Linked DNA regions of Arabidopsis thaliana. The protein of the gene in region 2 interacts with the protein of the main gene of each other region in a pairwise test. Each region holds a gene or a part of one and is shown on either strand. Other genes may lie near its edges. The genes, in order: AT1G74840 and MYB82.

Region 1 (4,720 bases), on a different chromosome or scaffold from region 2:
TCACACATATGTTTAATCTCAGAGAGCTTCTTATGGACATGGCAATAAGCAAGAGAAGATACTTTCTTCTTGTGAGAGTCGCAGATTGACTCGTTGTAATAGAATTGAGGGTCTCTAGGGACGAGAATGTGGTCGATTCTGGTGCAGAGAAGACAAGGAATGTTGAGGTCGAAGAATTTGGCGAATTGGTTTGACAGAAAGGCGATAACGCCGTCGATGAAGAGGAAAACAATGAGGCTCCATTCAAGAACAGTGTAGATGAGGAAATGAGGAAGAGATCCGAGTTCTTGTTCCACAAATTTCTTGAAAGAACGTTTAGACATTGTGGCTTGTAAAAGCAGAAACAAGAACAAGAAAAAACAGAGCAATTGTATATACATAGGAGATCGAATTTTGGTCAAAGATCAACAAAGAACAGAGATCATGATCTATCTATCTCAATCTTTTGTGATTTGTGTTTCTATTTCTGGGTTTAGAGAGTCTAGATTGGGCTGGAATTTGATGAGATAAAGTACCCAAAAACAAAGGATAGTCGCAGATTTGAAATTGATAAATTTAGAGACAATGTCAAAAGACAGAGAGATACAAAACAAACAAAGATAAACTGGATTCGTTTTTTTTTTTTTTTTCCCCGCTTAGACGTGAGGAGAAGTTTGTCGTTGACGCTAAAACTGAATACAACCATACACGACAGAAACAGAGGACATGCCAACACACACATGACATACACATATACATCATCATCATATAAAAATGATGCTGTTTGATTGGTCGATTAATGAATGGGGATCATGTTCTGTGATTGGAAGATTATTGCTTACGCAACAGGGGTAATATGTAATCATCCCACACAAAATATATTAAAAGCATCTGATGGGAAAAGAAAAAGCTCCACTATGATGGAAGTGACCAATAAAATTTGACATTATTGGCATCATTAAAGATAATGACATTATTCTACAAACATAAAATATCTTATCCTTGGAAATCAGATATATTATAAAAACCCTAAAACCCCATGAATCATCTAACATGATTTAGATAGCCACATGATAAGCAAGTACTACGACTCTGTTTATGATTGAGATCATGAATAAAACAAACATAACGTTAATATGATTTATAAGTTTTGATAGATCCACACGAATGAACTTAGAGAGTATTACAACAACTTCCAAACATGGAAGGAAAAACACAGGATGATTATGAACCCTAAAACCCCACTTAAGTCCTATCTCCAAACTCTGTTTATTATTCTTCTTTTCAACAGATTTTTTTTAGCCAAATACATAAATTTGACGAATTTTTTTATAACAAAGTCAAGACCTATCTGTACAGCAAAGAAACAAACAGGGTGTGTTGCAGATTTTCACCTTTAGGATAAGCTCTAAGCGACTCCAATCGTGTTGAATGCTGGATGCATTGAAGGAGATGGTTCATTAAGATTAGATGAAGCTAGTGAGAGGTTGAGAGAAAGCGGTGCTGGACTTGACTGAAAAGTTAATGGAACCAAATTGATGAGATTCGATGAAGTAAGCTGTCCGTATGATTGATTCCCTGTTGGTACCGGGAACTCGGGAAAGACTTGCATAACCGGATGTATAGAGAAGTTGTTGATTTCCGGTACAGGAGAAGATGATTGAGATGTGTTCTCCTGTATAAGCACTTGGTGATCTTCTTCCATGGGTATGACCTGATAACAAAACCAAGCAAAATCAGTTTTGTTATACTTAAGTTTTCACTAACCAACAATTCACAAAGGCTCTCTATTAGTTTCTTTTAAACAACTAAGCTAAAAACTAAACCTAACCACTTAACTTACTAGAGTCACAAAGGATTAGAGATTTACCGTATCAGTAGTCATGTCAAAAAGGCTAGATCTTCGGCGGCGACGGTTAAGATTACTTCGCCTGAGGAAGTATTTCTGAGCATGACTAGCAACTTGTGTAGAGGTTCTGGTCTTGACAAAGTTTCTTGATATTCCTTTCCAATCTCCTTTACCGACTCTCTGCAGCCCAAGCAAGAACAGCTTGTGTTCTTCTTCAGTCCATGGAACTCCTAAGAAATAGAAAGAAACCCAATAAATTAGCCATCTTTCTAAATCCAAATGAACATAAAGTTGTTCATAGTCCATTTCTCAAACCATATCTAACAAATCCCTAAGTTTAAAGTGATCAAATTTATGGAATGATAAAAAAAAGTTTCAATCGAAGAGTAATACCTCGTTTCCTCTCGATTTTGCCGTTAGAAGAAGACATGGGAAGAGCTTCATCCGCCGAGGCGTAACCGGCCGGGGTTTTGTTCATATCTTGTTCATCTCTATCTTCGCCGTCGATCTTTGGAGTCTCCGCCGTCTGTTCATAGTCAGACAGATTGTTCAAACTCACGCACTTTCTCATCGGGTCAAGCACAACCCTGACTCCGAACAGCATAATCTCTCTTCTTGTGCCGCTTCCAGCGCAGGCGGTAGTGGACTCCGAAGAACTAGTACTACCGTCGGCCATGATAATCTTTCCGATTTTGCCCCTTGTGCTTTCTTTCTCCTAAAGAAGCAAAGTACACAGAGCAATGGGCAATGGAGTGGTGTGAGTTAGATCTGAGCTTCTTTGGGGACCCTTTTATAAGCCAAAAGCCACGTGGTTCCTTTTTAAACTATTACATGTTGTAGGTGTTGGTGACGGTACCATATGACACGTGTTTTGTTTTTATTCGTCTGTTCTTGTATTTTTTTCTTACCTGCCTGTCTCTCTACAGAGTTTTCATTTGGATAGACTTTTTTTATTCATTGGCTGACTAGATTTATTAGGTTTTTTGTTAGTAGTTTAATTAATCTTATAGGATGACGAAAAAAGAGTTAAATAAATGTTATCCTATAATAAGAAGTTAAAAAAGTATTTCGCTATGTCGACCAAAAAATGTAGGTCGTATAACGAAGAAATATTTATTGACTTTCGCAAACTCAAAGTTAAATACAAAAAAATGAAATAACAGAATGAGAAAAATGAAATGAAATCGACGCTTTTATTTTTCTTAACGTTACCCTCATGTATTTTTATGATAAAAATCTACAGGTTATAATGTACTGGTCAACGCAATGTCTCTAAGGCCTAAGCGCATGCAACTTGAGCTTAGAAAAATAGTCAGCTTCTGAAATGATTCTGTACTCTGCTCTAATAATCTATTTAGTTACAGCTCCATCCTTGTACTTTTTTTTCTTCTAAAATACTATATCTTGTGGATCTATGAGTTGATTATTAAGAAAAAAATCTTGGGAGACAGGTGAATCCTTTTTGGAAATTATAACTTTGAATTTCAACACAAAAACTTACAATTTCAGGAATCTAATTCAACAACAAAAATGATTGTGTAGTCGAATTTGTCGTTTTCTAGCTAAGAGTAAATTTTAAGACGCTGTTAAGGACCTAATTGTAGTATAAACAGCATGATCGTATGTCCAGACTTGATCACAACTATATAGCATTAAAAAACAAAAAGGTGATAGTTTTAGTCTTTTAGTAGAATGTTAGGATGTGATTTGACTGTAAGCAATATGATCACATACTATTATTATTTATCTATTTTAGATTTGTAGGGAAAAGATTCTAAAAAGTATTTACAAAATTTGGTAAATAGTTTTGGAAGACAGCAAAATCACACAAAGCACTAGCATCGGTTAGAAAGCAAAGCCACCATTACTTTTATGCGCACACAAAGTGGAATCTTAAAGTTGTAATGTGTGAAGCACTATAGGAAGATCCTTTCTTTCTCCAATCTTTTTCTTATTTTATTACCAATTTGGATGACAAACTTGTAGTGACTTTCCTAAATCAGAAAACAAACACATATCTGAGGACGAGAGAGAGAAAAAGATTAATCAGACCGAAGAAGGAATCTTGCACAACAGATTGTTTTCTTTATTCTGGGTGGAGTTGGGTCATTGCTATGTAATAAGTTAGATTTCGAAACAGAGAGAGTTCATCAGGTGAGGTCACAAGCAAAAACTAGAGCTTCCCTGAGGAATCTTGATTAATAGATCCTTTAATTGTAACTAGAGCTTTGATCTTACATTAGCATTTAGCTTTATAGTAATCAAAAACATAGTTGAATGGAAAAAAAAACGAAAAAAAATCTATGGCTGCAAAATCATGGGTCTAACAATCCATCAAAACACTTAGTTGGCTACTTACTTGAGATTTTCATATAGACGCTTCTTCATATAAACTAAGATCACCATTTATCTTCTTCTCCAGCTTCTTCTGTCTAACAGAGGTTGACTCTACTGCTTGAAACCATAGCATAGTTATCATGGATATGGAGTGCTTGTGAAATACGCCCACAGTTTTCACCCACCAGTCTATATGGAGGAAGGCAGAAGAGGCCTTTGATTTCTGGACTTGGCAACAGAAACTACGTTGTCTAGTTCTTAAGCTGTGCTCCCTGCTAGTTCTTTTTTCGTCCTGGTTCTTCGTTGTGTAGGGTTACCGCTGTGGTTCGTGTCACTGCTTGTTGAAGCTCTTGTTCCAGCCGCAAATATTGGCGAGTTTGCTAATGCCACTAGGTTTTTATTTTCGGATTCTTCTGAAGTTGGCTCTTTCGTTGACAGTAACTGCTTGAGCTGAGATCGCTGGCACATAATGCGACCTCCATTCCATCCCGTGAAGGAAAATGAGGACGAGACATGATCCTGCAAGAAGGAGAAAGCAGCTTTCGCGATAGGAGA
Region 2 (3,721 bases):
ATTTGAGTATGAGAAGACAATGCAGCTGTGGGAGGTGATGTGGACCCACTACCTCTCGGAACATTTTCACCTATATGTTTGTGTGGCGGTCTTGAAGCGATGCCGCAGCAAGATAATGGGAGAACAGATGGATTTTGACACTCTCTTAAAGTTCATCAATGAGCTGTCTGGGCATATTGATCTCGATTCAACAGTCAGAGATGCCGAAGCACTTTGCATAGAAGCTGGTGAAAATGGTGCTGCTAGCATTCCTCCAGGAACCCCTCCTTCTCTACCCCTTGATGACGGTACCTTATATCCTCAGGAAGATGATGTTTTGTAAGTAATACGACTTTTCTTTTTTCTTCTGGACATGTTACCAAAATTTGGATTGCTTTTACTAGAAATCCCATACAATGATTAAGGCAAAGGACATAAGCTTTTTTTCTTTTTCCCACTTAATAATTACTCTGGTTCGCAAATCGCTAGGGATAAGTATTCTGCTGCATTGTGCTGCAGTTGCATAAGGTAAGAATACGATCCTCAGCGAATTAGGACTTGTCACAATTTAGGATTAATTCTTGCGTAGGCTACGTAACTCGATGTAAATTGTATAAGTAAAGCAATAATAACATAATGACTCGAAAAGTCTATGCAAGAATTTATCCTTCGAGATAAATCCAGGAAAGTCCTAAAGCAGAGGAAAGAAATCGGTAAAGGAAAAACATGGGTCAAACACGAGAGTGTTGTCTGGGTAGTGGGAAATAAGTGGCAAGGGAGATCCTACGTGGACGTCATAGCCAAAGTGGTTGGTCTCCTCCATCCAGGTATTGCTCTCCTCTTCTCCTCCTTCTCCATGGCTTCTTCTCAGTTCTGTAGACATAACTGGCTTATCCGTGAAAGGAGTGGCGCCGACGATTGATTCAGGTGCATTCTGTCTTCGGGAATTAGGTTTCTTGTTCAAATGAGTATTCCAGTAGTTCTTCACTTCATTGTCAGTACGACCTGGAAGGCGACCAGCGATCAACGACCATCTGATGGAAAAGAATAAGAAGTTAGTATCGGTAAACTTATGAGAGGGATGATCAGTGGTGAAAGAGGAAAGACCTGTTTCCAAGAAGCTTATGCATGCGGATGATAAGGTCTTGTTCTTGTGGTGACATGCTTCCTCTTTTGATATTTGGTCTTAGATAGTTCTTCCATCTCAGCCTACAGCTTTTTCCTCCTCTCTTCAACCCTGAAAAAAACATCATGCAGAAACACAAATTCTTTAATGTCCCAAAATCCCATCTCCCCTTTACTAGTAAACACAAAAATTTGGAAATCGAACCGGATCTACGAGAAATGTCTGCCCAGTTTCCTTCACCATGAGTCTCAACATAGCTTTTTAATATCATATCTTCTTCTGGTTTCCACAACCCTCTCTTCACGTAAGACTTCCCTTCTTCTCTTTTGCATTCCATCTTTTATTTTTTCTTCCACAGTTTTGCAAGTGAGTGAGGCTGTTTATTAACTATATACACAAAAAGTTTGAGGTTTCCAACTTTAACTCTTACATGTGGGGACTATCTACTAAAATTATTGAAGAGAAAAAGAGAACAGTGGTTTGCACTTTTCCGACAGTAACACTACTGTAAATTCGTGCAAACTAGAGCTGTAAAAGCTCTATTCCCTTGTTTTTATCCTCAACATTGTCACAAATTATTGGCTTTTAAGGCAAACATATAAGCACGGGAGATCAGAGGTTGAAGATTGCCATCAACCTCGATACATGCGTTAGTCCATTGCATTGCAGATACAGTTTGTGCGTTTACAGTTGTTGCGTTTCAAATATTCTTTCTCGCTCAAAATGCTTTTCCAATAGTCAAGACTAGTGTATAAGGGATAACAAATCAATATCTAAAAAATCTAAGAACGAAAAGAGAGGTATATGTCTAATATACATATTTGAGTGATATATGCATCTACGTCCTAGCTAGTTCTTAGTTTTCAGATTTTAATATTATGGAATTTGGTAACTTACATTTAAAAAGAAAACACGATTCAACTTATTTTCTTTTTTAATATGATATCATAAGATACACCACGATTAAAATCTGAAAATTCCATATAGGTCAATAACTTTCGAAAAACATTATAGTACCAAAAGATAATTATTACAACAAGAAACCATCTTTTTATTTTGTGTAACTTTTGTTTGGCTCACAAAGGGCATTCAAATTTTAGTACACAATGACATGCCTAGATCTCATTGATGTACCTTCCTATAAAAAATGAAGACTGAACAAAATATGTGGTATCATATTCGATTCATTATATCCACTTTGATCCGATCCAAAAATCTGTATAATCGTAAATTTGCGGAGCAAAACAAATAATAAAATTTAATATGTGCCAAATGTGAAACATATAACAAAAACTAAAATACCAAATTGGAATCTTTGAATATTTCTTAGTAAAATGTAGATTACTTTTAGTAGGAGTTTACTCTGTCGTATCAAACAGCAACTCATGCCTCTAGTTTTGTTTGCTATCATCATCATTGTTATTGTCTTTCATATAAAATAATAGCATTATGACTACTTTCTGACTGATAAAACTTCATAATTGCGTAATCATTTTCAAACAATGTAGTTAGATCTTTATTAATTTTCGAACAATTTATCTTTGTGTTATACGTATGACCCTTATTAATTTTACATGATGCATATTAACCGGAACAATTGCAATGACATATATGTTTATGTTCAAAAAGTTTGCAAAAACCTCCTGTTTCGCACCCTTCAATACAAAATTTCCAGCATTTCCCATCCTTCTCAGCATCATCATCGATGCCTGGAAGACACCTTCCAACACTCGGATGTTCTTTACAACATATCGATTTGTCTTCAAATATCCAGGGTGCGATGTGTTTTTGTCCATCTATTTGAATGGATCCTACATTTAATCAAAAATAATATTACATGAATTAATTTTCCAACATAAAAACTTCGGAAAAAAAGGTTAACGCTTTAGTGCTAAATACAAAAAAAACATAGTATACATAATACAATAGCAGCAAATAAAACAAAAGAGACAACATTTGTTCTAACCATTCTTCTCTTTTTTCTTTGTTAAATCAAAATATTAAGAATTTTTTGATATTTTTGTATTTGAATGAGAATGAAGAAGGAGTTGTTTCGTATTTATAATTAGAATTCTAACTATATTCAAGGGATCCTTCGAATTAACATTATCTCACATAATAAATTTGTAAGGAATACAATATATTTGGTCAACCAAATTAAAAACATGTTTCCAAAAAGATTGGATATTCCAACTTTGACTACATTATTACAAGACATACATGACTTATTTAGATAAACGTTTTTGGTAGTTTGCAAGGTAATGCAGACTAATATTTTCTGTGGGTTTATTCTGTCAAGAGATATGATTAGAGACTCATTCATTTCTCAATATTCCAATTCACTAGTTTAGGAAATTAATATAATCTTGAGGCTCACGCCTATTACTTGTATATAAACAAGCTCTGTATCTCTTTGTGAAATACATCAAACATACATCTTCTACATATCCGTTGTCGTAATATTCTTGTTTGAACTCTAAACCAAAACTTAGATCGGTTTGGTTTACTCGCCGGTTGTTGCGCTCTATGACGAACTTTTATATAAACTCGTTTACTCGCCGTTATTACAACTTACAACTTCTGCTCATATTATTTAATACTCATGCGGTGAAGAAG

Evidence for each region.
Region 1: the proteins of MYB82 (region 2) and AT1G74840 interact in a two-hybrid assay, tested with the Arabidopsis thaliana proteins (one large-scale study listed by BioGRID).

The regions. Positions count from the first base shown.
Region 1 is NC_003070.9:28,114,814-28,119,533, forward strand, and holds AT1G74840 (Homeodomain-like superfamily protein), read right to left. Parts: upstream 2,610-4,720; 5' UTR 2,505-2,609; coding exon 2,222-2,504; intron 2,059-2,221; coding exon 1,850-2,058; intron 1,694-1,849; coding exon 1,388-1,693; 3' UTR 630-1,387; downstream 1-629. Other genes in the region: AT1G74830 (myosin-binding protein, putative (Protein of unknown function, DUF593)), read right to left, coding at 1-380; PTAC2 (plastid transcriptionally active 2), read right to left, coding at 4,424-4,720.
Region 2 is NC_003076.8:21,342,527-21,346,247, forward strand, and holds MYB82 (myb domain protein 82), read right to left. Parts: upstream 1,581-3,721; 5' UTR 1,443-1,580; coding exon 1,310-1,442; intron 1,217-1,309; coding exon 1,087-1,216; intron 1,014-1,086; coding exon 671-1,013; 3' UTR 576-670; downstream 1-575. Other genes in the region: AT5G52580 (RabGAP/TBC domain-containing protein), read left to right, coding at 1-322; AT5G52605 (Defensin-like (DEFL) family protein), read right to left, coding at 2,690-2,901, 3,014-3,074. UniProt on the Arabidopsis thaliana protein: Transcription activation factor positively regulating trichomes development. Has a function nearly equivalent to that of GL1 and can complement gl1 mutants.